Linked DNA regions of Tamandua tetradactyla. The main gene of each other region encodes a partner of the protein of the gene in region 3 in a complex. Links are inferred from orthologs where the notes say so. Each region holds a gene or a part of one and is shown on either strand. Other genes may lie near its edges. The genes, in order: TAF1B, POLR1H, TAF1C and TAF1A.

What was found.
Region 1: TAF1C (region 3) and TAF1B share a complex: the UniProt entries of both Homo sapiens proteins name them as parts of the transcription factor SL1/TIF-IB complex. The link is inferred for Tamandua tetradactyla from reciprocal best matches to the Homo sapiens genes TAF1C and TAF1B.
Region 2: TAF1C (region 3) and POLR1H share a complex: the UniProt entries of both Homo sapiens proteins name them as parts of the pol I pre-initiation complex. The link is inferred for Tamandua tetradactyla from reciprocal best matches to the Homo sapiens genes TAF1C and POLR1H.
Region 4: TAF1C (region 3) and TAF1A share a complex: the UniProt entries of both Homo sapiens proteins name them as parts of the transcription factor SL1/TIF-IB complex. The link is inferred for Tamandua tetradactyla from reciprocal best matches to the Homo sapiens genes TAF1C and TAF1A.

Annotation. Positions count from the first base shown.
Region 1 is NC_135329.1:56,007,155-56,014,405, reverse strand, and holds the start of TAF1B (TATA box-binding protein-associated factor RNA polymerase I subunit B), read right to left. Parts: upstream 3,024-7,251; 5' UTR 2,821-3,023; coding exon 2,803-2,820; exon of another isoform or gene 2,631-2,802; intron 1,481-2,630; coding exon 1,382-1,480; intron 1-1,381. UniProt on the Homo sapiens protein: Component of RNA polymerase I core factor complex that acts as a GTF2B/TFIIB-like factor and plays a key role in multiple steps during transcription initiation such as pre-initiation complex (PIC) assembly and postpolymerase recruitment events in polymerase I (Pol I) transcription.
Region 2 is NC_135331.1:84,544,507-84,552,007, reverse strand, and holds the start of POLR1H (DNA-directed RNA polymerase I subunit RPA12), read right to left. Parts: upstream 3,016-7,501; 5' UTR 2,685-3,015; coding exon 2,549-2,684; intron 2,297-2,548; coding exon 2,196-2,296; intron 1,993-2,195; coding exon 1,883-1,992; intron 1,484-1,882; exon of another isoform or gene 1-1,483. UniProt on the Homo sapiens protein: Core component of RNA polymerase I (Pol I), a DNA-dependent RNA polymerase which synthesizes ribosomal RNA precursors using the four ribonucleoside triphosphates as substrates. Can mediate Pol I proofreading of the nascent RNA transcript.
Region 3 is NC_135342.1:78,858,777-78,865,726, forward strand, and holds the start of TAF1C (TATA box-binding protein-associated factor RNA polymerase I subunit C), read right to left. Parts: upstream 3,003-6,950; 5' UTR 2,848-3,002; intron 2,842-2,847; exon of another isoform or gene 2,585-2,841; intron 1,030-2,584; 5' UTR 1,029-1,029; coding exon 891-1,028; intron 214-890; coding exon 132-213; intron 1-131. UniProt on the Homo sapiens protein: Component of the transcription factor SL1/TIF-IB complex, which is involved in the assembly of the PIC (pre-initiation complex) during RNA polymerase I-dependent transcription.
Region 4 is NC_135330.1:83,117,578-83,124,807, forward strand, and holds the start of TAF1A (TATA box-binding protein-associated factor RNA polymerase I subunit A), read right to left. Parts: upstream 3,025-7,230; 5' UTR 2,900-3,024; exon of another isoform or gene 2,633-2,899; intron 2,212-2,632; 5' UTR 2,081-2,211; coding exon 1,960-2,080; intron 1-1,959. UniProt on the Homo sapiens protein: Component of the transcription factor SL1/TIF-IB complex, which is involved in the assembly of the PIC (pre-initiation complex) during RNA polymerase I-dependent transcription.

The DNA.
Region 1 (7,251 bases), on a different chromosome or scaffold from region 3:
TGATCAGACAGAAACAAATAGAAACATTATCACATGCAGAAATAAAAGAAGCAATTAGCTAATATAGCTCAATTTCTACAAAAATAGTATACTGACTTTGCAGACAGTAAACAGTCCATTTAGTTATCATGTTTCTTCATTATGTTTACATTTGCACTGCTGGTGCAAAACAATGGTAAGTAAAATCGCTAGAGACTTAACACAAATCAAGGCAGAGGCACCAAACGGAATATATTTATAAAGCGTACAATTTGATGAGCTGTCCTTGAAACCATCAACACAATCAAGATAATTAGCATGCCCATCACCCCAACAATTTCATCAAGCAAGAACAAATCTTTTTAACACTATGTGTGAACACATGGGAAGTACACACGAGCCCTTCAGCTGAAGACTGAAGTACAACAATTGTCTCAAGGAAAAGCACTTGTGCAATTGAGCTGCCAGCTAAATTAACCACTTTTCTCAAAGAAAACATTTTTTTTTTACTTGTTTCATATATTTTGCCCAGGTTTGCAGCTGTTTCAAGTAGGAAAATAAATATGGTCCCAGGGACTTCATCTTGCCCAGAAGTCTACACATTTACTTTTATCTGCTCCATATTTGTCTTTCTTAAGCTTACTTGGTGAATGTGATTATTTGCTCCATCTTGCCTCTGTAGACTCGGAGCAAATCCCTTTCAACAGAGTCCTGCATTTTAGCAGGCTGTCCACACCTTTGATTATTTTGGTTCTGTTACTCTTACAGCGTGAAACCAGAACAGGACCAAGAGCTCCCCGTTCACCAAGATCACACAGAACTGCATGATAATTTCTATTTTAAGAGGCAGGTGTGGTGGGGTGAAAAGAACCCCAGAGTAAGGAAGACTCATGCTCAAGTTCTGGCTCAGACACTTCACACTTGGTACCTTTAGCAAGCTCACTCAAATCCTGTGAACCCTAGATGCTTCATCTATATACTCACATAACATATCTCACAGTTCCCTATGAAGAAGAAATGAGATAAGAAAACACTTTGTAATCTGTAAGGTACTGTACAAAAATAAAATGATATGAAGCATATTAAAAGCTCTTAAGCATTAACTAACATAGAAATGTATCATCTTCTGAGTACAATTTCAATTATTTCCCCTTAAATCTTAAATGCCGAATCAGAAAATCATTTAAAAGTGTGGCCCAACTTAATTTTAAAAACTCACCTTAAATCTAATTCACAAATTCCTTAACCCGTGTGTAAGTACTTGAAGACTACTTACATTTCTTGGAATTTTCACATTTCATGAGTGATAAAAATAAATATTCTTTGGGAACTGTGTTATATATCAGGCTGAAACTGCAATTTTGAAGCAAACGAATTCATAAATGATACATCAATTACTTACTTCTGTAACATTGTGGCACGAAGTGCAATAATATTTGCCTTCATCGGTAAGGCCCCAAGAGACAGCAGCACACTGAGTACAGCGTTCTTTGAACTCTTTCTATAGGAAAAGAGGATAGAAAAGGTGTTAACGAACAAATTACACTTAATACATTTTATAAATGAAAATCATCGAAATAAAAATAAATCAGAGGCGAATAACAATTCAGTCTCTGAACCAGTATAAAGCAAATCAAACTCTTTTCTAAAATATATATAGTGTGAGGAAAAAGAAGAAAAGGTGGTAAGGGTAAAACTGCAAACAGAGAAGAGTAAATAAAACTCCTTGAAAACACTGAATGAAAAAAAGGCAAGCTTTAAGTATAGAGAAGACTTAAAACATAGAAATAGCATATCATTTGGAACCTCCTTCAGGTCCCTAAAAACACACACTCACCACAAAGAAACCAGATTTTTATTAGAATTGTTTCAAGTTTCATTGTATTCATTCAGCAATTATAATGAGTATCAACTATTATAGTTATTTGAGTATAACTAAATGTATCAGGCATTTTACTAGACGCTAGGGATTCAATGGTGAGTGAAACAGACGTGATCCCTACGTGATCCCTACTCAGAGTATACATGCTAATGGTGAGTTATAATTATTAATGTATATTAACCATTCATCAATCAATGAACACTTATTGAGCAGCTATTATGAGTAAGGCCTTCTATCATCATACTGCTTCTGTACGTCAAAGACCTAACTCTGACTGACACTAAATCACTGATTCCTAATGTCTTAGGTGTTGCACAACTTATTATTCTTGATAAGAAGACCTAACACTTCGTCGACACCATTAAAGAATGCAGCATTTTATGAGGCATGTCAAAAATGAAAGCAAAATTGTTCTGACAACGTGGTCAAGTCTTCAACGACCCCATGCTGATAACTACCTTAACATTGGGGTGTCCGCAAACCGGTATTTGGAATCACTGCACCAGACCGAGGCGAGGATTCCCAGAGAGATCTGCAGGGGTTACTTGGGTGGATTCTGGTTCCAGCCTCTGCCCCTCCCTCCCCCACCACAGCATCAATGGGAACTTGTGGGTGGTCCGGTTGACAAAGGATGCGCCATGTGGGTGGCCTCCCCACAAAACCCACAACCTCATCTTCCTCCTTAAACACACCCATATCACAAACAAACCACCCTGCCTGCACCCACAACCTCGCTGAGCCTGAAACTCCTGTCTCGTTCCCAAGAACTCGAGTCGCCCGCCAACCCTGGCCCGTTTCCCGGCCTCGCATCCTTCCGGCCCGCCCCTCTACTTTCGGCGGCCTGCCTCACAGCCACTTAGCATCCTCCAACCCCTTCCCCTTAGCCTCACTCCGCTCCAGTCCCAGCTGTGCCCCGGCAGCCAGCGGCACCGCCTCCTTACCGCCTCCTCTAGGTCCATAACGGCGCCGCCCCCGTCGCCGCCACCACCGCCGCCGGGCACTATGAACCGGGTCTGGAGCGCAGCTTTCGGGAGCGGATAGTGCAGCCCTCCTGCCGGAAACAGGAAGCCCTGGCTTTGGGTTCCGGGTGCCTGCGGCCTCGGTGAAACCTGGACAAGCTCTGGGGGCAAAACTGCGTAAATCCGGTAGGCGCTTCTAGTCTTGCTAACTAAAACCAGCCAATAAACAATTGGGCGGGGCCTGCTGCCGAACTAATCCAATCACGCCTCGTTCTAATGGTGGTGCCTTACAGGACCCATTTTTTCGTTGCGAGACTTAGGGAGGCTAGGGAGGGCCAAGTTCCAGAGCTAGAGCTACCCGCGCTCACAATGCACGGCTTCCTTTCTCCACCCCTTACTGGGTTTTTTTTTTTTTTTAATAAGGGAAATGAGGCAATTGGAATGCCAATTTTATTTAGTAAACAAAACAGCATCTTCGCTGACTGACAAAATCTATCCAACTATTAAAAGCAAAACAAAATTATCTTAAGAGATAGTCATACAGATCTTGGTATTACCTACAGGTATACGTTTAAAGAGAGAGGGACAGACAGACACAGAATATTGAAGCGGAATACTGCATCTGAAATTGCCTGATAAAATTCAGAGAGAGCGAGTGAGGGAGTCAGAAGCAGGGATATCATGTCATATTTTCTCTCTTCTTCAGTGAGTCTTTTAACGTCTTCCACAAGCTGTCTTTTCTGTTCAGTTTCTTCTCCATCAGAGGAGGTGGATTCCTTGCAGCTTTCCCTCACATGAAGAAGGCATCAATACAGAATCTGAGGGCAACTGGGGTCTCACCGAAAGTGCAGTTATATTCTCCCACCAGACTCAGGCCTTCTGTGGATACCCAAATTTTCAACATAGTAGTTCTTCAATGTTGAAATTTTCACAAAAGCCTAGGACTCTTTTCTTTTCTTTTTTTAATTAATTAAAAAAAATTAACAACAAACAAAACATTAAGATATCATTCCATTCTACATATACAATCAGTAATTCCCAATACCATCACATAGTTGCACATTCATCATTTCTTAGAACATTTGCATCGATCCAGAAAAAGAAATAAAAAGACAACAGAAAAAGAAATAAAATGATAACAGAGAAAAAAAAGATTATACATACCATACCCCTTACCCCTTGCTCTCATTTACCACTAGCATTTCAAACTAAATTTATTTTAACATTTGTTCCCCCTATTATTTATTTTTATTCCATATGTTCTACTCTTTTGTTGATATGGTAGATAAAAGGAGCATCAGACACAAGGTTTTCACATTCACAGAGTCTCATTGTGAACGCTATATCACTATACAATCATCATCAAGAAACATGGCTACTGAAACACAGCTCTACATTTTCAGGCAGTTCCCTCCAGCCTCTCCACTACATCTTGAACAGCAAGGTGATATCTACTTAATGCGTAAGAATAATCTCCAGGATAACCTCTCGACTCTGTTTGGAATCTCTCAGCCATTGACACTTAGTCTCATTTCACTCTTCCCCCTTTAGTCAAGAAGGTTCTCTCAATCCCTTGATGTTAATTCTCAGCTCATTCTAGGGTTTTTCTCAGTCCCTTGATGCTGAGTCTTAGCTCATTCCAGGATCTCTGTCCCATGTTGCCAGGAAGGTAGGACTCTTTTTTTACCACAATCTCTGCCTCATCACCTAGAACATAGAGACTGTGGGCCTGAAGAGATGGTGCATGGGACAGGTGCATTTTGATGCAGAGCAAGATGGAAGAAAAGGTTGAGAAAAGAGACACTTTCTGGAGGGATCAGGCTTGCAGGGAGGGAGGCATGAGGAGAGGGAGTACTTAACCGGCCTTTTTTTTTTCTTGCTGGCTTTCAATAGCATGGATGAGATATTTGAAAAAGAACACAAGTTGTTGCATCAGACCTGGTTTTCTAATCACATTTTTCATTTTATTTTACTTTGTTTTGTTTTCTGTTTTTACTTACTTCAGTTTGCCTCCTCTGTAAAAGTTAGTTATTTCTTGATTGCCAAGAAATGGAATGTCCCAGATGTCTGTCAACAGACCAGTGGCTAAACAAGCTGTGGTATATACATACGATGGAATATTATGCAGCTGTAAGACAAAATAAAGTCATGAAGCATATAACAATGTGAATGAACCTTGAGGAAATTATGCTAAGTGAAATTAACCAGAAATAAAAGGACAAATACAGTATGGTTTCACTAATTTGAACTAACATTAATGAGTGAACTTTGAGGGTTAAAGTTAAGAACACGGGTTATCAGGAGATAGAAATAGGATAGAGATTGGACAATTGGTGCTGAAGGAATACAAATTGTGCAACAGAACTGATTGTAAAAATTCAGAAATGGATAGCACAGTACTACCTGACTGTAGCACAATAATATAAGTAAAAGGTTTTAAGATATGAGGTATTTGAGAGAAAGGAAAGTAGACAAAAGGATTGTAAATGAGCATGCTTTATTGGGCTGCACTCAGGGGCAGAGCTCACCGAACCCAAGAGGGACGGAGGTGAGTCCCCGCATGAGCTTTGGCGAGTGCAGTTTTTAAGGGCAGGGGTTAGGTGATGACATGAAAGGGGCAGCATATTAAACAAAGGATTATTATGCTAACGGGTTGAGCAGCGGGTGGTTAGATGTCCGTGAATAGATGTTTGCTGCTCAAGGACCTTGATTGTAATGGTTCACCTCCCTTCACCTCCTGTTCTGGAGTGACTTCATGATTCCAGCCTTACAGCCCTCCCTTATTCCCCCGACCTAACAATAAGTACGCTAAATGAAGCTGAATGTGATTATGATTGAGGGAGAAGGGCTGGGGGCACATATGAAACCAGAAGGAAAGGTAGATAAAGACTGAATTGACATAATTTAGGAATGACTAAAGGGGACAATGACAGTGATTAAATGTGCAAATAAAAAACGTTTCTGCATGAGGGAGAACAAATGATGGTCCACATTGCAAGATGTTGAAAATGTGTGCTGGTTTGAAAGGATGTATGCACCCTAGAAAAGCCATGTTTTAATCAAAATCCCATTTCATAAAGGCAGAATAATCCCTATTCAATACTGTAGTTTGAAACTGTAATCAGATCATCTCCCCGGATGATGTGATTTAGTCAAGAGTGGTTGTTAAACTGGATTAGGTGAGGACATGTATCCACCCATCTGGATGGGTCTTGATTGGTTTATTGAAGTCCTATAAAAGAGAAAACATTTTGGAGAATGGGAGATTTGGAGAGAGCAGGGAATGCTGCAGCACCACGAAGCAGAGTCCACCAGCCAGCAGCCTTAGGAGATGAAGAAGAAAAGTGCCTCCCGGGAAGCTTCATGAAACAGGAAGCCAGGAGAAGGAGGTAGCAGATGAAGAACTCTGACTGTGTTCGCCATGTGCCCTTCTACTTGAGAGAGAAACCCTGGACTTCATCAGCCTTCTTGAACCAAGGTGTTTTTCCCTGGATGGATGCCTTTGATTGGACATATGTGTAGACTTGTTTTAATTCGGACTCGGCCTTAGTCCCAATTAATAAGTTGTAAACTAGCAACTTATTAAATTCCGCCTTTCAAAAGCCATTCCATTTCTGGTATATTGCATTCCATCAGCTAGCAAACTAGAACAGATGGTATACAGGAAAAAGTACAATCAATGCAATCTAGGGTCTGTAGTCATCAGTAACACTGTAATATGCTTCCACTGAATATAACAAAGGCATTATGCCAAAACTAAATGCCAAGAAGGAGGGGCATGGGGCAAGGTATGGATTCTCTGTGGAAGAAAAAGAAGTGTCTTCGTATAGGTTCTGGTGGCAACATCATGTCTCTATACTTAAGTTGGATTTATGATATGTGAATAAAACTGTTTAAAAACGAACAGAGAGAAACAAGTGCTAGAAAAAAATGCAGAAAAAAAGATGTACCTATTCATTGTCAGTAGGGAAAATGAGAGTTGCAGCCCCTTGGAGGGCAGTGTGGTGATTCCACAGGAGGCTAGGGGTAGGGTTGTCATATAATCCTGAAATCCATTTGTGGGGACACAAATGGATATTTGCACACCAGTGTTTATGGGAGCAGTGCTAAAAAATCAATGTGGTATTGGTGCAAAGTTAAAGAAAAAGATTAATGAAATTGAATGGAAAGTCCAGAAACTGACCCCTAAATACATATAAGATTAACTGATTTACAACAAAGGTGCCATTACAAATCAGTGGGGAGTGGATGGTTTTTCTATAAATGGTACTGTATCAGTTGAGCATTGATAAGAAAAAAATATTGACCCCTGCTCACACTCTATACAAATATTAATTTGAAATAAATCATAGAATGACGTGATGAATAAAATCATAAAGTTTCTAGAAAACAACATAGAATATCTTCATGATATGGAGCAAGCCAAGGTTC
Region 2 (7,501 bases), on a different chromosome or scaffold from region 3:
GTGGTCTAAGGGTACAACGACTGAGGAATGGAAGGGGGAACTGTGGTATATACATACAACAGACTACTAAGTAGCTGCAAGAAGTAATGAAGATGTAAGGCATGCAACTAGGTGAATGAACCTTAAAGACTATGTTGAATGAAATTTTAGGAACAAAAAGACAAATATTATCATGCCTCAACCTTATGGACTAACCATAATATAAAAATTCAGTGAACTAAAGTTGAGAACATGGGTGATTAGGTTGGGGCCTATTGTAAAGGGTCTTAGATTGTAAGCTCTTACAGCAGTCACATATATTCAGGGGATCTAACTGTTAATTCTAAATTCTGAGATACTGAGCTGTTTGTATATAACATGGTCATTCCCAGAAACTTCAGGTATTTATGTGACATCTAAGACTCAGAACTCTGAAGCTATGAAAGTCATCAGTACCCCACACAGGAACTGTTTAAAAAGTTAAAAAAGTGATCAGACATCAAGTAGCGACATGAATGAAGCTGATCCAGATATAACTAAGGTATATCAGAATACAGTTAAAGGATGATATCTATATTTTAAGACTTCAACTTCTGTGTGAGACTAAAGGGAGAGATGTTTATTGGGTGCAAAATTTATATTTTAGGTAGTGCATTTCCTAATTTAATTAGTACGGTTAGTTTAGTTGAACATTATAAGTATATGGAATCTTCAATAGGGGGTGAGATTTTGTTGGTTTGTTCAAGTTAGTGTGATGATCTGATAAATCCCAGAGTAATCTGGGCAATGAATAAAGAAGTATTTGCAAAGTCCCCTGGGGGAATGGGAGAAAGGAGGAAATATTCAACTTCCCCCTTTTGGAGAATTTCTGATATTCTCACTAAGCAGTGTGGACAACCAAATCAATAAGCCAAGCCCTCGATCTTGGGGTTCATGAAACTTATTCTGCAAATGATAGGCTAAGGCTACATATAATTATGCCTAAGAGTCATCCCCAGACAACCTTTTTTGCTCAGATATGGCCTCTCTCTAAGCCAACTCAGCATGTGAACTCACTGCCCTACCCAATACGGGGGATATGACTCCCAGGGGTGTAAATCTCCCTGGCAACACAGGACAGAAATCCTGGGATGAGCTGGGACCCGGCATAAGGAATTGAGAAAGACTTCTTAACCAAAACGGGGAAGAGAGAAATGAGACAAAATAAAGTTTCAGTGGCTGAGGGATTTCAAACAGAGTCAAGAGGTTATCCTGGAGGTTATTATGTATTATATAGATATCCCTTTTTAGTTTATGGTGTGTTGGAGTGAGTGGAGAGAAGTACCTGAAACATTTGAGCTGAGTTCCAATAGCCTTGATTCTTGAAGATAATCGATTGTATAAAAGATATAACTTTTACAGTGTGACTGCGTGATTGTGAAGACCTTGTGTCTGATGTTCCTTTTATCCCAGCTATGGGCAGAGGAATAAAAAAATATGGATAAAAAGTTAATAAATAAATAGAGGGGACAAAGGGTAAAATAAATTGGGTAGATGGAAATACTAGTGGTCAATAAGAGGGAGGGGTAAGGTGTATGGTATGCACGAGGTTTCTCTTTCTTCCTTTTATTTCTTTTTCTGGAGTGATGCAAATGTTCTAAACAATGATCATGGTAGTGAATATACAATTATGTGATGATATTGTGAGCCATTGATTGTACACCATGTATGGAAGGTATGTTTGAAGATTTCTCAATGAAAATATTAAAAAGAAGACCATGCATTTTCTTACTATCTGAACTGTACAGATATGAGGGATATGACCAAAGAAGATAATTATTCATTTAGTAAAAGGTAAGCCATTGGATTTGTTTAGCTGGCAAGTAGATGGAGAAAGGGCAGAGGGAGGGGAAATGACACTCACTTGCAGTTGGTACAGGTGTAGAAGACAGTCTGCCCTTCATCGGCTGAGCGCATCTGTCTGGTCTGGTATGCCATTCCTTCATGACCACATCTAGCGCAGCGTCTGTCAACCTGGGAAACAATTGGTGGGACAGGGAAGGCCTAGTCAGTATCTCCTTAATTCGCATAGGAATCAGGCTGTCACATCCCACAGACATTTCCCCTCTACTTTCCTGGATTTGGGTACAAAACTCTCCATATCTCTCCAATTGCCCCCTCCCCCATTTCTTTCTTCATTTCCCTTACTGAGCCAGTCCTTGATCTCATTAACTTACCACGGGCCCCTGAAACGCTGGTCCTTCTTCTACGGACTTGCGCACGGCTGTTCCCAGTTTGTGAAACACAAATGAGGTCTTCACAACCTTCCCTTCGAAGTCTGCGCAGGCAGTAAGAATCGTTTGTGGAGACAAATGGTGGGAGTAGATACCCGCAACCCCGCTCCCGGTTAAGCCAGGAGGCTCTGCATTCCTTGTGTCACCTTCGGGTCTCCGCCCTGGACCAAAGGTATAAGTGCCTGGTCTCCTGCTCTAGAATCCCCCTCCTTAATCCCAGCGATCTTGAGGTCCCCAAACCTCCGACACTTCCATTCCGGACTCTCCGCCCGGACCACTGCCTAAGAGTCGCTCACCCCGCACGTTGATGGAGAAGCCACAGCGCGCACAGATGACCGTATCTTGAGTCCCGGGCAGGGGCAGAACAGAGCCGCAGTCTGGGCAGAAATCGAGGTCCGACTGGAAGCTGGAGCAGGTCTTGGCGAGGTCCATAACGGAAAGGTGGTCGCGGGTTGGGGAGCGGACGAGCAACGTATTAACAAAATAAAGGTTTTTTAAAACCAACCTCACCACTCTGGGGTCCTTCCTGTCCTGAACCAGGACCTAGGCATAAACATTCCAAAGCACGCCTCCCATTTCTGCGACGAGTGGGCCTAAGCGTCCAGCACTGCCAGCCCTCTTCTGGAGCCCAGCGGCTTGGTACCCTTCCTGGGAGACGAGCTGACCAACCCCGCGGGCTAGAGCGTCGGCCTCCCAGAGAGCCGCCGAGCAGTCGGTGCATGGCGGCCTAGAGCGTCAAAGCGTCCCGGCTCACGATTGGCTGAGATGTCATAAGTAATCGCTAACCTAAGTCCAAAAGCCTTTCTGAGAGAACGCAAGCCGCGCGAGCGGAACTTGTGGTTTCTTCGGCTTTGTATTGTGACGTCGGAAAAGAAAAATGCTAACGTGTACTGCGCTTCTGGCTGCTTTTATCCCCGGGACAGAACTCTGATATACTTATTTTCTTGGTCTCGCATCATTTGCCGGAGGTCATTCCCTCCAAAACGTACTAATCTTCCTGAATACTTGTTTTACTGACAAGGGAACTACAATTCCCGCCATTCCTGAGCCGGCATCTCCTTTCGGCGGCTGCTCAGTGGTTACAAACAAAGAAAGCTAAGCATTCCGAGAGTTACGGTTCTGGTATTGCTTGGATCCTGCTGGCGGAGCGTGGGCTGCTCTGCAGTGCTCAGCCTGGCACGCGTGCTCTTCTTGGGAGGCAGTTTAGGGGCGCTTGGAAGATGTGAGTTGGCATCTTAAGGGGCAGAAAGTGGTAAGGATGAAGACGGAGGAGGAATACTTAGTCCCTTGAGACGAAAGGAATTGAGTAGGACGTTGGAGGGATTTAGGATTTTGGAGGTAGCGGAAGTGTTTGGAATAGGGGTGTTTCGGGGCTCCCCTATTCTTAGGCACCTGCCAGGCGAGGGAGACTAGCATTAATCAAGGGAGTAGGTAGTGGAAGGCTTTCACGAAGACTTGGGTGAAGTTTGGCTTATTGTTGCAGAAATCCACTCCCGCCCCATTCTCTTTCGCCTCCTGCCCAACTCTAAATCATTGTCATCCATTAGGTGGGCAGTCGACATTTCCCTAATCTTTTCTAAAATTTAAGGGTAGTATCTTTAGAAAATCTTGGTATTTTTGTTCATTTGTAACATATAATCTGTGTACAAATTTGAACTAAAAGGGAAACTCCTAGATGAGTTCCCTGGCTTCTTTCCAGTCCTCCCAGCTCCACCCAACCGGATTGTTCTGATAATCTCCATATGTATATATATATATTTTTTTTCCTGGAGCTATCACTGTTTTTTTCTCTGAAAGAAACAAAATGCCGTCTCTGGGAGATTCTTTTTTTTCCAATAGTGGGGACATACCTGATATTGAATGGAGTTAAAACTTAACGAGCTGCAGGAGAGTGGTAAGCCCTGTAATTTCACTTACTTGAGTGTCATTTCTTTGTATTACAAAGACAGGTCTGTTGCTAAGCCCAGGATGGTAGGCAGTTTCTATGCTTACATCTCACTGTGCTGTCTCCTTTGAAAATGGAAATTGAAATTAGCCCTCCTCGCACCCCAACTTTTCCTTTTCGCTTTGACATACAGTGAAACATCCAACATGTATTGAATATCCTAATGCAGTAAAGGAACTGCAAGCATTATAAGGCATGCCCCTTCCCCAATAAGTTCACATTCTAATCAGTAAATGTTTATTGAGCATTTATGCCAGGCTTTGAGCTGAGTCTGGGGCTACAAAGTTGAAAATTGTTCTCCAACCTCAAGGAATGCAAATGAGTAATGAACACTAGTATGTACAAAATGTAAGTGTCCAGGATGAGCATATCAAATAAATATGCCCATGTGCTTCAAGAAAGACTGGTAAATGCTTTAACGAAAAGATATATACAAAGCCATGGGGATGAAAAAGATGCTGAGACATCATGTGATAAGTATAATAAATAATAAATCTTCACTTTTAAATACTAAGGGGACTTGGAATCACAGACTCATCTTAAATACTGTGTTAGATGTTAATGTGTTATGCATAGGCAAATATGAATGCATCTAAGAGGTCAGTGATTCAGAATAGTTTTCAGATTCTCTCTGATAATATAGAGAGATCATATCTTTGTAAATCTGAATTTTGTTTCTGCTCTTTGAATACACCCAAATTATAGTTGTAAAAATAATGCAGCAAAATGTGAAAAGTGATGTGTGTGTGTGTGTGTCACAATGTAAAGCGTGATTAATTTTCATATGATTTGTAGAAAAAAAGTCTTCAGGGGAAGGCAGAAGCTACTATGAGACAGAGTAGAGCAAAAAGAATTTTTGGAGAGTCATGGACTTAATCTGTGGAGGACAGATAATTGCCATTTACTGAGAACTTACCATATATCAAGCACTATGCCAAGCTCTTTACATCTAACTTGTATTTGTTCTTTATAATCTTTATAACCCCAAGAGGCAGAATTGTGTCTTGTCTCTGTTTTACAGATGAGGAAACTGGCATAGAGGATAAGTTACTTGCCCTTGGTATACACACCTGGGAAGTGGTGGATTTAAGATTCAAGTCTAACCCTATCAGGCTCCAAAACCCATGCTCTTAATCATAAAGGGTGTAAACAAAAGCACAGAGATGAATTGCTAGGCATCCTCAGTAGCTTAAATACGACCTCACAGTAACTCAGACCAGACCAGGGATGACACATAGAAAGTTAATAGTCTTCATGTGTGTTGCTCTCAGCCTGTCCTATAAGTAAACACAGAGTACCTGCCAGTTCCTACCCTGAAGGGTTCAATTGTAAATGGTCCCATAATGGATTAGTGTGAAGAATGATTGGCAGTGTATGTAAGGCAGCCAAGCAGAAGTGTGGACAATAAAATAACAATTTCAGAGCAAAAGTTGAGCGCACAGAGATGCTGTATGTGCTGATAGAGGCAGAGAGGGCCCGGATCAAGAAACTACAGAAAGAGAATGAACTAATAAAACTAGAGTCTAGAATTATCTCAGAAGATGAAGGAGGCTGGGGGACTGACCAGTCTGACATAGATGTGCATCAGCAATACCTCACCAAGAAGTCTGTCACTTCCCTCGCCCATTCCCCAGTACAAGACTCAGAATGGTTCAAGTTGAGTCCACAAGAGAAGTATGCTTTTAGCTCATATAAAGGGAAAATCCTCTTCTTAAAAGACCATTTATTACTCTCTACCATAGAAATACGATGGTTTCCTTGAGGAAAATGGCCCTGCTATAACCTATTCATGGGTTTTCTCTTTGCGGGGGGGAAATACCATTGGACTTCACCAAAACCATTGGGTTCCTTGATTCAGTTAGATTAGACACTATGTGAGCAGATGTGTTCTAACACCTCCCACATTCTAATCTATTTTTGCTTTTTTATTTTACAGATTGGCCTGGGCTAAAGCATCAAAAGACTCTAGGATTGCTGCAGGCCAACACTCCCCACTGGAGAAAAAGATCTTGGTAAGTAAATTATCTTTGCATCATACAATTTGGAGCTACTAGGAGAAGGAATGTTAGGTTTAAAATCCTTTCCCCCAAATGATACCTTCAGATAGTAAGTCTACACTGAAAAATGTTTCTCAGCTTTGTCCACAGCTGCAAAAAAAGGTATCATTTTGAAAACCCCTAACACTGTACATATTTTTAAACTAGTTATTGATTTATGGTGATGGATAGGTACTTCGTACTTTCAGAGCTTACAGGCTTACCTAGGTGCCATGGGAGTAAAATCACAATTATTACATTGAAGTAAATTAAAAACTATGTATCTTTGCTTGTTTCAGTACTGAGAGTAGGCTCGTCTTTACATATATTCTAAATAAAAAGATGGTGGTCATATTTTAAAATTCTATACCTCATTTTGACAGAATCTAGGTGGCGTGCATACAACAGCAACAAGAAGACTAATAACCCAAAAATATCAAGAAGAGTATAAAACACTCTGTGAGGAGCAGTCTCTTTCTCTTGATTACTGGCTTGCCAAAGCAGAGTCTTATTATAATAAAAGAACAGTGGAAATGATGAAAAAACAAAAGTCAGTCAGTGAAATTGAGAAGAAGATAGAGGAGAAAATAACCCAAGACATAGAGAGACAAAAATGGTACTATTTAGTACCTGAGAGAGAGCTGAAACACATAGAGAGGTACATACATCGAGCCGGACAGGCCAGAGAACTCAGGAATAAAACATTTAAACAACTACGAGTCATTAGTGAAACAACACTACCAAAAATCATGTCAGAAAAACATGGCAACCAGAAAGCACAGAGAAGAAAGCAGGTAGTAGAGAGGGAACAGGTGCAAATTAAAGATCACCAGGAACGCATGATTCGAGGGCGAGAACTTATAGAGCAAAGACTCAAGGAAAGGCTCTTGGGGGATAAACAGAGCCTGCCATCTGCACATGAGAAGCGTGAGAAAGTAAAGAAAGAGGTAAAGGAATTTGAGAGTGTTATTGCATATCCTCTTTTCCAGCCGTACCATGGAAGCCATATTAAAGTGAATATTCTTATGGAAAAGTCTCAGAATGGAGAAGAGAATACAGTTATAAAGCCACCACAAAGAAAATTCTTGACTATGCCTCCCTTTTTGAGGAGTCAAATAGGAAAAATTAAGGATTAATAAAGTTTCAGTGCTTTTATGATAAAATCACGTCTTAAACGAACTTTTTTTCTAATGCTTTTCCTCATCTTTCCCCAGAATTCAGTGAATATGCCCATTCTGGGAAGTATCAGAAAGTTCAGGGCTTGAAAA
Region 3 (6,950 bases):
GAGGGATCCAGGGACCCCAGGGGAGCAGAAAGCATCAGGAGGGTGAGGGAAGGCTTCAGGGGACAGAGGGCTGGGGAGAGGAGTGACAGGTGGGGCAGCCTGGGAGCCGACCAGAGGAAGGGGAGCCTTACCAGGACTAGGAGGCAGCAAGGGGAGGGGTCCAGGGGTCTCTGGCTCCCACCACAGGCCCTTGGCTGAGGGCAGTGCCACATTCTGCAAGAAAACCACAACCACGACAACAAGCGCTCCACTTTTACATGCTCAATTCAATTCACACAATCACCCTCCAAGGGTGGTACAACTGTAATTGCCACTTTACCAAGGAGGAAACTAAGGCACAGGGAGGTTAAGTCTCTTGCTGCAGGTCACAGAGCCAATAAGGAGAGGAGCTGGCATTGGAACCCAGGCAGCCTACAGGCAGGCTGTGGTTTTTACTCCCAGCGTCGTCCCTACTACACCCCGTTTCTGTCCCTTTGCTTCAAACTCAAAGCTATCACAATTTGAAATTATTTCATTCACTGATATGTTTGCTTGTTTACTCCTGCTCGACCATGAGTTCTGTGAGGGCAGGGATTATGATCTGACTCACTGCCAGTTTTCCTAGTACCTGGTAAGATGTCAGGACACGGTCAGGACTGTTCAATATGAACAAATGAAGGACTCGGACAGGGAGGCAGGACAGAATGAACCCCAGCTCTCACCAGGTAAGCCGTCCATGGACAAGGGCTTCCCACATACCTTGACAGGGCGGGCTCTGGCTCAGCCTGTGTCTTCATGGGTTTGGGCTACCACCGCCCACCCTAGGCCCTTGCCAACTGGTGTGCTAGGAAAGGGGACTCAATTCAACGGCTCATTCTGGAGTTCTCAGGGCCCCTTCCTACCCTCCTCACCTCTGAGTTCTGGGGCTGGGACAGTGGCAGGGTCAGTGCATCTCTCCAGCTGCACATAAAAGACAGGTCGGGGACACTGCTCAGTCCAAGGGGGCCCGTTGTAAACAAGGTGGGGCGGAGGGAGCTGGGGAAGTCCATTCTGGAAAACAAGAACCAAACTTTACCCTGGCCTTCCCAAGAGACTTGAATCTGATCACGGTCTCCAGAGTTTCTAGGGAGAGTAAAAAGTGCCCGAAGAGGAATCTACTTTCCTTGGTGAAAAACATACTGAAAAAGATATGACTATATAAGTCTAATGGAAAGTAACAAAAAGTTCTATATTAAAACATAACAACCAAACAACCACAAGAAGGGGTCAGTGACTGGCCAGGGAAAGTCTTGTTGAGTACATGGCATTTGAGCAGAGATGGCATCTAATGGGGGAGAGAATAATGCAGACAACTGGGAACAGGATTCCAGACAGAATGAAGAGCTAGTACAAAAGTCCTGGGGCAGGAAAGTGCTTGCATGTTTGGGAAACAAACAGGAAGCCACAGAGTGAACACGGAGAGTGGAAGGGAAAGTCAGACAAATGGTGATGGCTCAGTTTCTATCACAGTTCTTAACACCCTGTATTATCACTCTACTTTTGTAATCTAACTCCCAAGGCTGGACTCAAGTTCCCCCAAAGCCAGGGACTGAGTTGTGCTTATCCGTCTTCCCCCTGTCAAGCACAGTGCCTCCCAGAAAATGCACTTCCCAGAAAGTGTGTGTTGAATAAAAGTTTATTTTTATTAATGTGGGGGTTTTGGGAAATACAAAGTATTCTAAAAGTACAGGCAGCCATCTCCCTTTTAAAATTAAACACAAAAATAACAGCAGCACTCACTGAGTGCCATGGGCTGCCAGACATGGTGCTACATGCTTTCCTCTTCTTCCAGATATGCCTATTCTGGAGTTGAGAAGACTGAGGCTTGGTAAATGGCAACTTGCCCAAAGTCAACAGCTTATAAGTGCCAGACCCAAGACCTCAGCCCCCACCCCCTCATCCAATTCAAAGCCCGTGTACTGGACCACAACACACCTGTGCACCCAAGACCAAACAATGAGTAGTATCATAGTCTTAGGAGGTAAAAATCTTCTCCCTTGTGATGCACTTTACCAGTTTATGCTGTAGCTCTGCACGTCCACGTGTTTTCAGCACCACCCGTTATGCTAATGGCACAATGAGGGTCGAGTGATTCAGTGAGTCTCTTGGGGCACCCATCAACCTCACTGTAATCATAGTTTTCATGTATATCCTGTCTCCTCCACCAGACTGTGAGCTCTCTGAGGGCAAAGATTGTAACTGATTCATTCTTAAGTTCCTGGGGTCTGGCTGCTACTATTAATTTCTTTTGCACAATAGAAGAGGATAGTGTCGGGGGTCCCGCTGGTGCTCAGTGAATCTTTGTGAAAAGTCACTAGCTTCCATAAGAGGCTATCACACCTGCATTTCAGGTGCACCAAGCTTCCTCCCGACAGCCGCCACCTCAATAAACCAGCAGACACAAAAACACCTGCAGCTCATCTCCCTGTTCCGTGGATCCCAATCACGCTGACCTCCTTGGGGTCCTCCTCACTATGTTTCTTCTCACCACAGGACATTTGCACACTGCCCCTCTGCTTCGGATGAGCCCGTATCCATTCCCTCCAGGAGCCTCACAATATCCTACCTGTCCTTCAGATTTTGAGTCCTTTGTGTGCTCCTCAGGGAAGCGTGCAGACAGCCGCTACCCCGTTTCACATTTGTGGAATCGTCAGCCAGAGGCTACTAATAACCCACTTTGCAGATGTTAAATAATTCGTCCCAAAGCCACACCACTTGGGGCCTGCGGACCCGCGCGGAAGTAAACCGAGCTCCCCTCTCGGACCAGGACCGCCTCGCCGCCCGGCTGGCAGCGCTCTCTCCTCCCGTTCGAGTGGCCCGCGCACTTACGTAATCCGGGCTTCCGGGGTGCTAGTCAGAGAAATGGGAGCCCGCGCGACGCTCTTCTGTCCCTCCACGCGGGAGAGAGCCCTAAAGCCGCCACACTACCTTCAGCGAACCGCCGGGGTCAACACCCACCCACGTTGCGAACGAACAGTTTTCCGGGTCTGGCCGGAAGTGCCCCATCGGCGATAGGAAGTCCCGCCTCCCAGCTCGGGCTCCCTAGCGTCCTCGCGCGCCCCCTCCCGGACAGGGGAGGGAATGTGAAAGCCAGGTGGACGTGGTTTGAATCCCCACTTTGCTTGACCAACTTCCTTCCTGCTTGTTAGGGTTGATTTGCGTTTCAATTAATTCATTCAGCAGGCATTTACTGAGCGCCACTCAGAAAATGCTCCTGGGTTAGCCAGTGGGTAGCCCACTGATTGTCCTTGAACCCTAACAAGCTGGCTCCCTGGAGTACCTGGGGATTTTCCAGGGGAAGTTATTCAGGTATAGTTGCAGGCAGTGGGTCTCTATCAGCATCACCTGGAGGGCGGTTTAAACCAGGTTCTGATTCAGCAGGGGTGGGGTGCAACCTGATAATTTGCGTTCATCACTCCTGACATGCCTGTCAGGGGACCATGCTTTAAGGAACACTGCTCAGTGATAAATTCAAACCCAGTAGCTCTCAAACTTGAGTGTCCACCAGAATCCCTTGGAGGATTTGTTAAAACAGTGCGCTGAGGCTCACCCCCCAGAATTTCTGACTGGGGAGGTCTGGAGTATGGCCCAAGACTGGGATTTTTAAGAAGTCCCTGAGGGCAGGGGATGGGGGGGTGGAGGGGGTGGGCTGCTGACGATGCTGATTCAGGGATCAACTTTGAAAACCATTGCTTTAAAAGAAACCATTTCCAAATTCTTGACTTCCATCTATATAGTTTTGTTTTGTTCTCTGGGAGGAACTTGGAGTTGGGTGGTTCTCCTTTCCTGTATGGCCTTTCATAGTTGTTCTTTTCCCACCCATGGAGCATTGCCCCAGGATGGGTGCTGAACAAGGGGATGATTCCACAAAGCAGCGCTCCTACAGGAGCCCCCAGAAGATGAAGAAAAGCTGGGTGTGAGAAATAATGATGGAAGCGTACAGCTGTGGGGATTCTGGGGACTGAAAATTCTATTTCTTCATCTAGTGACGTGGGTGTGTTCAGTGTGTGAAAATTCATCTAATGATCTGTCACTTTTTTACATGTATGCATTTTTTGCATGTATATTATACTTCAATAAAGAAAAATACTGCTGGCTGTGATATCTTATTTCATCAAGACTTCGAACATCTGATTAGGCTATGTGCTGGTTTGAAAGGATGCATGTCCCCTAGAAAAGCCATTTCATAAATGCCATCTATATCCCATTTCATAAAGGCAGAATAATCCCTATTCATACTGTATGTTTGAAACTGTAATCAGGTCTCCCTGGAGATGTGATTTAATCAAGAGTGGTTGTTAAACTGGATTAGGTGACGGCATGTCTCCACCCATTTGGGTGGGTCTTGATAAATTTCTGGAGTCCTATAAAAGAGGAAACATTTTGGAGAATGAAAGAGATTCAGAAAGAGCAGAGAATGCTGCAGCACCATGAAGCAGAGAGTCCATGAGTCAGTAACCTTTGGAGATGAAGAAGGAAAACACCTCCTGGGGAGCTCATGAAACCAGAAGCCAGGAGAGAAAGCTAACAGATGACACATGTTCACCATGTGTCCTTCCAGCTGAGAGAAAAGCCCTGACTGTGTTTGCCATGTGCCTTCTCACTTGAGAGAGAAACCCTGAACTTCACTGGCCTTCTTGAACCAAGGTATCTTTCCCTGGATGCCTTAGATTGGACATTTGTATAGACTTGTTTTAATTGGGACATCTTCTCAGCCTTAGAACTGCAAATTTGCAACTTATTAAATTCCCCTTTTTAAAAACCATTCAGTTTCTGGTAGATTGCATTCTGGCAGCTAGCAAACTAGAACAGGCTACACGCCTAGAATTCAGAAGGTTGGGAACTCTGATTCCATTCATTGACAGACCATTCACTGATGTATCCCAAACATCCAGGAAAGTTCCTGGCATAGAGTAGAGGCTCAATAAATACTGAATCAGTGAAAGAGAATGAAATGAGATGGTTTTTCTGGGAAAATATCAACACATTTATTTAAATTGAAATTAACACCAGACTTTCTGATAGGAAGTAAATCTGAATTAAATGATTGATTTGACTATGAGATTTATCTGCTTGGCTTTGCCAATTAGATCATATGGAGAGTATTTTTCATAAATTGATGAAAACATATTTAAAGGACAATGATAATATATAATAAATCAGAAATTACACCTCTGTATTTAAATTTGGGATTAAAAATTTGGCATGTATAGTTTTTCAAAATTATTTTAGGGAGTAGGTAAGCAAAATATTTGAAGGCACTTATATGAGTTTTTTCTGTTGTAGCAAATCACCACAAATTTCGTGCCTTAAATCAACACTAATATATTATCTGACAGTTTTGGAAGTTACTAGTCCAAAATGGATCTCACTGGGATAAAACCAAACTGTCAGTAGGACTGCATTAATGGTACATGATTGGTTCGGTAGTAGAATTCTTTTGCCAAGTTCAATTCCCAGCCCATGCGCCACCACCACCCAAAAGAGAAAAGAAAATAGGACTGCATTCCTACAAGAGGTTTGTTCTGGTTTGCTAGCTGCTGGGATGCAACATACCAGAAACGGAATGGCTTTTAACAAGGGGTATTTAATAAGTTGCTAGTTCACAGTTCTAAGGCTGAGAAAATGTCCCAGTTACAACAAGTTTATAAAATGTCCAATTGAAGGCATCTGGAGAGAGATACCTTGGTTCAAGAAGGCCGACAACGTTCAACGTTTCTCTCTCAGCTGGAAGGGCACGTGGCGAACATGGCAGGTTCTGCTGGCTTTCTCGTAACTCTATCAAAAGGGGCTCTCTCCAAAATGTTTCCTCTTTTAAAGGATTCCAGCAAGCAACTCCACCTTCAGTAGGTGGAGACACACCTCCATGGATATCATCTAATCAAAAGTTACCACCCACAATTGGGTGGGTCACATCTTCATGGAAACAATCAAAATGCTCCCACCCAGCAATATTGAATGAGGATCAAAGGGCATGGCTTTTCTGGGGTCCACCACTGATTCAGACCGGTACAAGGTTCCAAAGAATCCATTTTCTTGCCTTTTCCAGATTTGAAAAACCGCCCATGTTTCTTGGTTCATGGCTCCTTCAATCTTCAAAGCTATCTTTTCTTTTTGTTATTAAAATATACTTTACATGTTGTAAAGTGCACAAATTTTAAGGGTGTAGCTTTTGGATTTTTTTGGGGGGGATTTGCATTTGGATTTTCTACAAATGCATAAAGCTGTGTAGCAACCACTCAGATCAAGATAGAAAACATTTCGATCACTCCAGAAAATTTTCCTGGTGCCACTTCCCAGTCATTACCCCTTCAGGAAGTCATCACTATTATGACTTTCATCACTATAGACTAGTCTGATCTCTTCAAGAACTTCATATAAATGGAATCATGTGGAGGATACTCTTTTGTGTCTGGCTTCTTTCACTCAACATTTCTGTAAGAGTCACCCATAATGTGTATGCAGCAGGAGTTTCTTTTGTATTATCGAGCAGTATTCCATTGTAGGAAATACACCACAATTTGTGTATGCATTCTCTTGTAAATGAACTTTGGGGATGTTTCCTGGTTTGGCAATTATGAAGACTCTGTTCATGTTCCTTTGTGGATATATTCAGCAGCCATTCCATTTTTGAAACCCTGTTGTCCCGTCCATTCTCTCTATGAGGACTAATTCCACCATTTGGGTAACACAAAAAAGCAGAATTCTTCTGAAGCCAACCCTTGAAACATTTGACTAGGTTGAAACTACCTTGGCCCCCCACACCTACTCCTTCCAAGATAAATGGTCTCTGTTCCACCAGTTGCTCCTCATAACCCAAAGTAGCCACACGGCCACAATTTGGTTAGCACTGCCAGGTCCAAGGGTAACGAGTAGCAGCAGCAGCAGCAGCAGCAGCAGCAGCAACTACAAAGACCACACATCTTACAGAC
Region 4 (7,230 bases), on a different chromosome or scaffold from region 3:
TTTTTAGTTTATGGTGTATTGGAGTGGCTAGGGGGAAATGCCTGAAATTATCACGCTGTGTTCCAGTAGCCATGTTTCTTAAAGCTTTCGCAATGTGACTGCATGACTGTGAAAACCTTGTGTTTGATGCTCCTTTTATCTACAGTATGGACAAATGAGTAAAAAATATGGATAAGAAATAAACAAATAATAGGGGGAGCAAAGATTTTAAAAATTGAGTAGCTTGAAATACTAGTCATCAATGAGAGGGAAGGGTTAGGGGTATGGCATGTATGAATTTTTTCTTTTTTCTTTCTTTTGCTGGAGATATGCAAATGTTTAAAACTAAGGATCATGGTGATGAATACACAACTATGTGATGATATTGTGAGCCACTAATTCTAACAGTGTCAAGAATGTTTGTTATTTACAATAAAAATGTTTTAAAAAAAGAACTATAAAAATAGTAATAATAATATTTCTTAAGGAAAAGAAGTTTTGGCATGGAATGAGCTATAAATAAGAACCAGTCATTCAAAAATCAGCCCCTAAAAGAATCCAGAAAGTTGTCAGTCAGTCAACAAATTCTAGGTGCTTGGCATAAATCTTTATTCCAGACTGACCCCTCCCTTAAAGGAGCTTTCATTCTAGGGGGGAGGAGGGCAGATCCTTCAGAATGCCAAAAACTTTCTACTAGTATAAAAAAATAATTCTTAGGCAATTTCGTTTTCAAACTATAGTTACTTACAACGTCAATACTGTACGTTACTTACAGTGCCAATATTATTTATTACTATTTTCTCATTGCAGATATACAATATCTTGGGTTTAAAAGGCTATCCATAATACATAATAACACATTTCTAAGCACATAAATTCTGGTCTTAAACCTATTTACCTGCAGACTTAATCAAACTCTCTATAGATCCCTGGTGACAGAAACATACCCAGGTATATCTTAACTAGCAGAAACTGAGTAGCATTACCTAACCCCACACTTCAGGTTCCTAGTTCTAAGGGGTGAGGTATCATTCCTGAAGTACAATACAGTCAAACTTCGCTTAAGTCATATGCATTAACCTAGTTAAAATAAAATGAGGAGAGGAATGGAATTGGTAATTTTTCAACACTCGCTGTGCATGAGGCTCTATGCTAAGCAATTCAAATATATTATCTCACTTTTTATATAGCTCAGTGGTTAAAAGCACAGGCTTTGAGATCAAACAGACCTGGGTTTGACTCCTGACACCACTGCTTATAGTTTAACTTCTCTAAGATTCAGTTTCTTCATCTCTAAAATGCCTGACATATATACTGCTATGAGGATTAATTTACTGAGATAATTAATGAAATGATACTCAGGTTAGAAGGAAAAAAAACAGGAGCTAAGGGATTTCAATTATGGGCTACGAAACACGGATTGAGGGCAATAATAAAAATAATGCTTCAAATGTATTCCCAGGACTACATCACCCAACATGCCAACATGTAGATAACTGGTTCTTATTCAATCCAGTAGGGAATTTATCTCATCGAAAAACTTGCTCATATTTATATTAAATGAAAATGGGGGAAAACACTTTTTTAAAACTAATTCTATTTGAAATCATTCCAGTGCAATTCAACAAGAACTTCCTGAACACTTCTTAGGTATGCATTCCTCAGTGGGCAGAGTCCCAACGTTACTAATCTGCATATCACCAGTATTTAGCCAATGCCAAATAAGTGTGTGAAATAAGTCTTGCTGGGGAAAAAGAAATACAGACTACTTGTTATTAATTCAAAGGAAAAGAATTTTAAAAGAAAAAAAAAAAGACCTATTTGTGATTTGTTTTCTTCCTTACAGCCTAAAAAGTATATCACCTATTTCCTACCTTGAAAACTGAAGCTCTCCCCAACCTAGTTATTCATTTCGCATCCATACTGAATCTAACCACTGCCTTGCATTATAGTTAAACGGTCATATGTTCTTTTACTTACCCACAGTTTCTATTTGCTTTCGGAGCCAAGGGAAATAAATTCCTGTACCAGAGAGCACAGACATGTCCACCCCATCCTCCTCGGGCACGGGCCTTGCTGATTCCTCAATGAAATCACTCATACCTACTCGAAACTGAGAATATCAGTTACTTTCTGTACATCTTAATCCGTAGGCTTCTGAGTTACAGAGAAAAGTCGTCTTCTGATCTAAGAAATACTTGATCAGCAAAATTTTTCTGTACTTGGGAATTCCTTTAAAGTAAAAATAAGATATAATTATGTCAGCAACATAAAAAAAAATACAACATCAACTATAAGCAATCACATACAGAGATAACCAAGATATTGTCCTTTTACTCAAAAACAAACTCAAGTCCACAAGAAAGAGAAAAATGAGAAATAATAGTAGGACAAAACAAGAGTAGCAGTAGCAGTTGAGATGTACTGGGATCTTACTATATGTCAGCCACACAAACTACCTAATTTAATCTTCACAGTAATCCTGAGGTAAATACCGCATTTTGACGGTGAAAAGACTTGAGGGGCTTAGTGTGATTATTATTATTATTTTTTATTTTTATTTTTTTGGCATGGGTAGGCACCGGGAATGGAACCCGGGTCTCCGGCATGGCAGGCGAGAACTAGCCTGGTTTAGTGTTATCTTGTCATCTACCTGAGGTCACAAGAAAGGTGACCAAGGCTGACCCACCCGGGGCCGTCCAGGAGTCCCGACCGAGGCCGTGCTCACAAACACGCCGAACCCCGCGGTGAAGCGCGCGGCTACCACGGCAACAAGGCTTCCGCTCTCTCTCTTCGACTCACTCACGGTCTCACCGCACCAGGAGAAAATACCGGGCCACACCTGCGTCCTCGCACAGCCATTCCCGCTCAACCGGGAAAGCAGGCGGTGCCGCAGACAACGTCCACGACACGTACTCGCCTGAAGCGTGAAGCCCCTGGGCCCGGCTGAGCTGGGCGTTCCAACTTCGCGGGACACCACGAACAAAACCTCGCGGGAAGTGACGTCCGCGACGCTTCGCGTGAGCACGCGGAGAATCGCTCGGGAGCACGGGCCGTGCGCAGGAGCAGCCCCGCCCCCAGCGCCGCCGTGGTGACGTCACGGCCGCCCCTCGTGGCCGGTGTGGAGACTTGCCGCTTTCTCGTGGGTATGGTCTCAGGTTCACGTTTTAATCTGTCCCAGCCGGAAAAGGAGAGATTCTAATTACAAGTGGATATTGGGGCGACGGAGAATGGCTGGAAATGAAGAACAGTCGAAAAAGCAGGCTGTCACATTACCCGAGTGACTTACCGTGCGGGACCTTCCGGTTTCTGCTTGCTCACTGACGGGCTGCGCGAACGGAGGCGTGGCGAGCGACCCCGATAGGACCTCTTGCTAGCCGTCTAATTGGCTTTTTCCTTTTATTAAAGTTTTAGCTCTGACCTTCGGGTGAGTTTAAGCGACCCTGACTGCCTCCCCAAAACTCGGACTAGAATCTCTATTTGGTCCTCAGCGGGGACGATTCCGAGTACTTGTGTTGGGCCATTTTCCGTAAGTGACATTGAAAAACCTGTATGAAATAGGGGTCAAAAATAAAATGGTTAAACGATGTGAAATGAGAGACAGTTAAGGGTTTCGAGGAGGGTGACCTTGGAAAAGCAGAGATACACGTGAACATAATGTGTCTTTCGGATATTTGGAGAGCTGATCCGTCCAGGGAGGTTTAGATTACTTTTGTATAGCATGAGAGGATAGAATTGATTGAATAAATGCTAGAAGGAGGCATTTTTAAAGTCGTTCCAAGAAAGATTTTTGTTAATAGCTAAAGTTGCACCGATAAGGGTGTCGGTGACTCCAGGAATCTTTTGAGCTCCTCCCCAGAATGAACCATTTGAGCACAATCAGTGTACTGCGGAGGCAACTAAAGGTCTAGTAAGAGCATGTAAGTGATTCCTTATAATGTTAGGAATACTTATTTCTATGTTGCATTCATAAATACTGGCAAGAAAAGTTCCTCCTGCTATGCCATATAAGTGCTTGGCCTTTCTCAAGTATGTGCTCGAGTGCCACAGGCAACACTGATCTATATGATGGTGTGGTAGAGGAGGGCACGACACACACACACAAAACTATAGTTATTAGCCCCCCAGCCTAGACCTTAATCTGGATATATTTAGTCCATTGCCATGAGATATAATTTCACCAAAACCAACCCAGAGTTGCTTTTATGTGGCTAGAAATTGATGTTCTCATCTAAGTGGGGAAGAAATTTCTAGTTTCTCTACACAGCAGTAGATAAAAGAGAGAAAGTTAAGAACTAGTAAGTTTATATGCCCTACCTACCCTTCCTTTCCCATGGTACAACTCTGGTAGAACATGCATTGGGACAAAGAGATTAAAAATATTGACCATGCTAAATCACAGTCTGACTCACTGGTCAGATTTTCCCTCCATCACCACCTCCCTGTGCGTTGACAGGTTCCTGAACATGGACTGCACAGGGTGCCAGACCACCCTGGTGCACTACCCCTCCATCCACTTTCCCCTGATGACCTACTTGCCCATTGTCTCAGCTGAAACATGAGCAGTTCACAGTGGCAGAGGTGACTAGTATCTGCTTTAACCCTCCAGATAGCCAAGTGTGACCCTCCCCCAGAAAGTGCATAGTCTGCTGCATACTCTACAGTGGAAAAGTGGAGCTCAAGGATGTGACTGCCACCATCGCTATGATCAAGAGTACCATCCTGTGTATGGACTAGTATCCAGTGGCTTTCAAGATTGAAATCAACTGCCACAACCCCGCAGTGGCACAGTGAACAGTCTGCATGCTAAGCAACACCACAGCCATCTCCGAGGTCTGGGGCCTCCTTGACCACAAGATTGACCTGGTATATGACAAACAGGTATTGCTGCGCTGATATGTGGGCTAGGGCATGGAGGAAGGAAAGTTCTCTGAGGCCTGAGAGGAGCTGGCCACCTTGGAGTATAATTATGAAGTGGGCCTGTGGACAGGCCTCTTGTTCAATCTAATTTACTGCTGTTTTTTCCCCCTCAGGAGTGTCATTTCCTTTTTGATATCTAGCCTTGGATACAGCCAACTAAGTCCATCCTATCAGTTTTTTTTCTCTTTAGAGGTGTGGGTTTACAGAGTAATCATGCATAAAATACAGGTCTCCACATTTCACCCTATTATTAATACCTTCCATTGTGTGGTACATTTGTGACAATTGATGAAAGCACATTTTTTATCAGTGTAAAATTAACTATATTCCATGGACTCACAGCTAGTGTTATGCGGTTCCATGTTTTGTTTTGTTTTTTAATGTTATTCTGGTACCATATGTACAACCTAACATTTCCTCCTTTGAACCAATTTCAGATATATATTTCACTGCTGTTAATTATGTTCACAATGTTATGCTGCCATCACCGCCATCTATTATCGAAACATTTCAGCATTCCAAATAGAAATTCTACATTTTAAGCCTTAAGTCCTGTGATGGTTGGGTTCTGGTATCAACTTGGCCAAGTGATTGTGCCCAGTTGTCTGGTCAGACAAGCACTGGCCAAGGATATTTCGTGGCTGGTTGATAAACTAGAAGGTTGGTCAGTCAGTTGATTGCATCTGTGGCTGATTACATGTGTGATCAACTAAGGCAGTCTCCTGCACTGAGATAATCCAATCAGTTGGAGGTCTTTAGTGAATAAGAGAGACTCTTTCACTTCTCCTGAGGAGGCTGTCCAGAACATTCATTGGAGCCACCAGCCTCACAGTTTGCCGTATGGATTTTGGACTCTTCCATTCCCACGGTTGCATGAGAAATGTTTATCTCATATTTACAGATCTCTTCTGTTGGTTCTGTTTCTCTAGAGAACCTAACACAGCTCCCTATTCCACCCCGTTCCCCATCCCTTTGTAACCTAGATTCTGACCATATGAGTTTGGTTATTCTAATTATTTCATATTAGTGAAATCATAAAATATTTGTACTTTGTTTCCACCTTCTTTTGTCTGTTGATGCATGTTTCAGAATTTCATTCCTATTTATGGCTGAATAATATTCCATTTTGTGTATATACCACATTTTGTTTATCCATTCACTGGTTTATGGACACTTGGATTGCTTCCATCTTTTGGCGATTGTGAACAATGATGCTATGAATATCGGTGTGCAAATATCTGTTCAAGTCCTTACTTTCAATTCTTTTGGATATATACCTAGATATATGCTGGGACATATATGCTGGGCAATTCTATACTTAACTATCTGAGAAAGTGGCAAATTGTTTTCCACCGAGTGGCTGCACCATTTTTACATTTCCACCAGAAATGAATAAAGTGTTCCTATTTCTCCAGATCTTCTCCAACACTTTGTAATTTTGTATTTTTCTAATAATAGCCATTCTTGTGGGTATTAAATGGTAACACATTATGGTTGTGATGCTAATGATGTTGAGCATCTTTTCATGTGTTGTTTGGGCATTTATCTATCTTCTTTGGAAAAATGTGTGTTCAAATCTTTTGCCCATTTTTAAATTGAGTTATCTTTTTGTTGTTGAGTTGGAGGACTTCTTTATGTATTGGATTTGTGGCTTCCAAATATTTTCTTTCATTGTATGGGTTGTCATTTTCCTTTCATAGTAAGGACCATTGATGCACAGAAGTTTTTAATTTTGAGGAGGTCCTATTTATCTATTTTTTCTTTTGTTGCTTGAACTTTGGGTGTGAAGTCTAAAACTCTTGCCCAACACAAGATCCTGAAGACGCTTCCCTATGTTTTCATCTACGAGTCAATAGCTCTGTTTCTTATATTTAGGTCTTTGATCCATTTTGAGTTTACTTTTTTATATGATGTGAGGTAGGTGTCCACCTTCATTCTTTTGCAAATGGAAATCCAGTTTTCCCAACACCATTTGTTAAAGAGCCTGTTCTTTCCAAATTGAATGGTCCTTCCCCGTTTGTCAAAAATCAGTTGGGGGCGGGCCAGGTGGCTTAGCAGGCAGAGTTCTCAGAGACCTGAGTTTGATTCCCAGTGCCTGCCCATGCAAAAAAAGAAAGAAGAGAAAAGAAAAAGAGAAAAAAAATCAGAAGGATATAAGTGTAAGGGTTGATTTCTGAACTCTCAATTTGACTCTATTGTTCTATTTTTCTGTCCTTTTGTCAGTACTATGCTGTTTTTTATTACTGTGATTTGTAATAAGCATTGAATCTGTAAGTAACCGTGGGTAGAATTGACATCTTAACCTTATTTAGTAATATTTTTTAAGTTTTT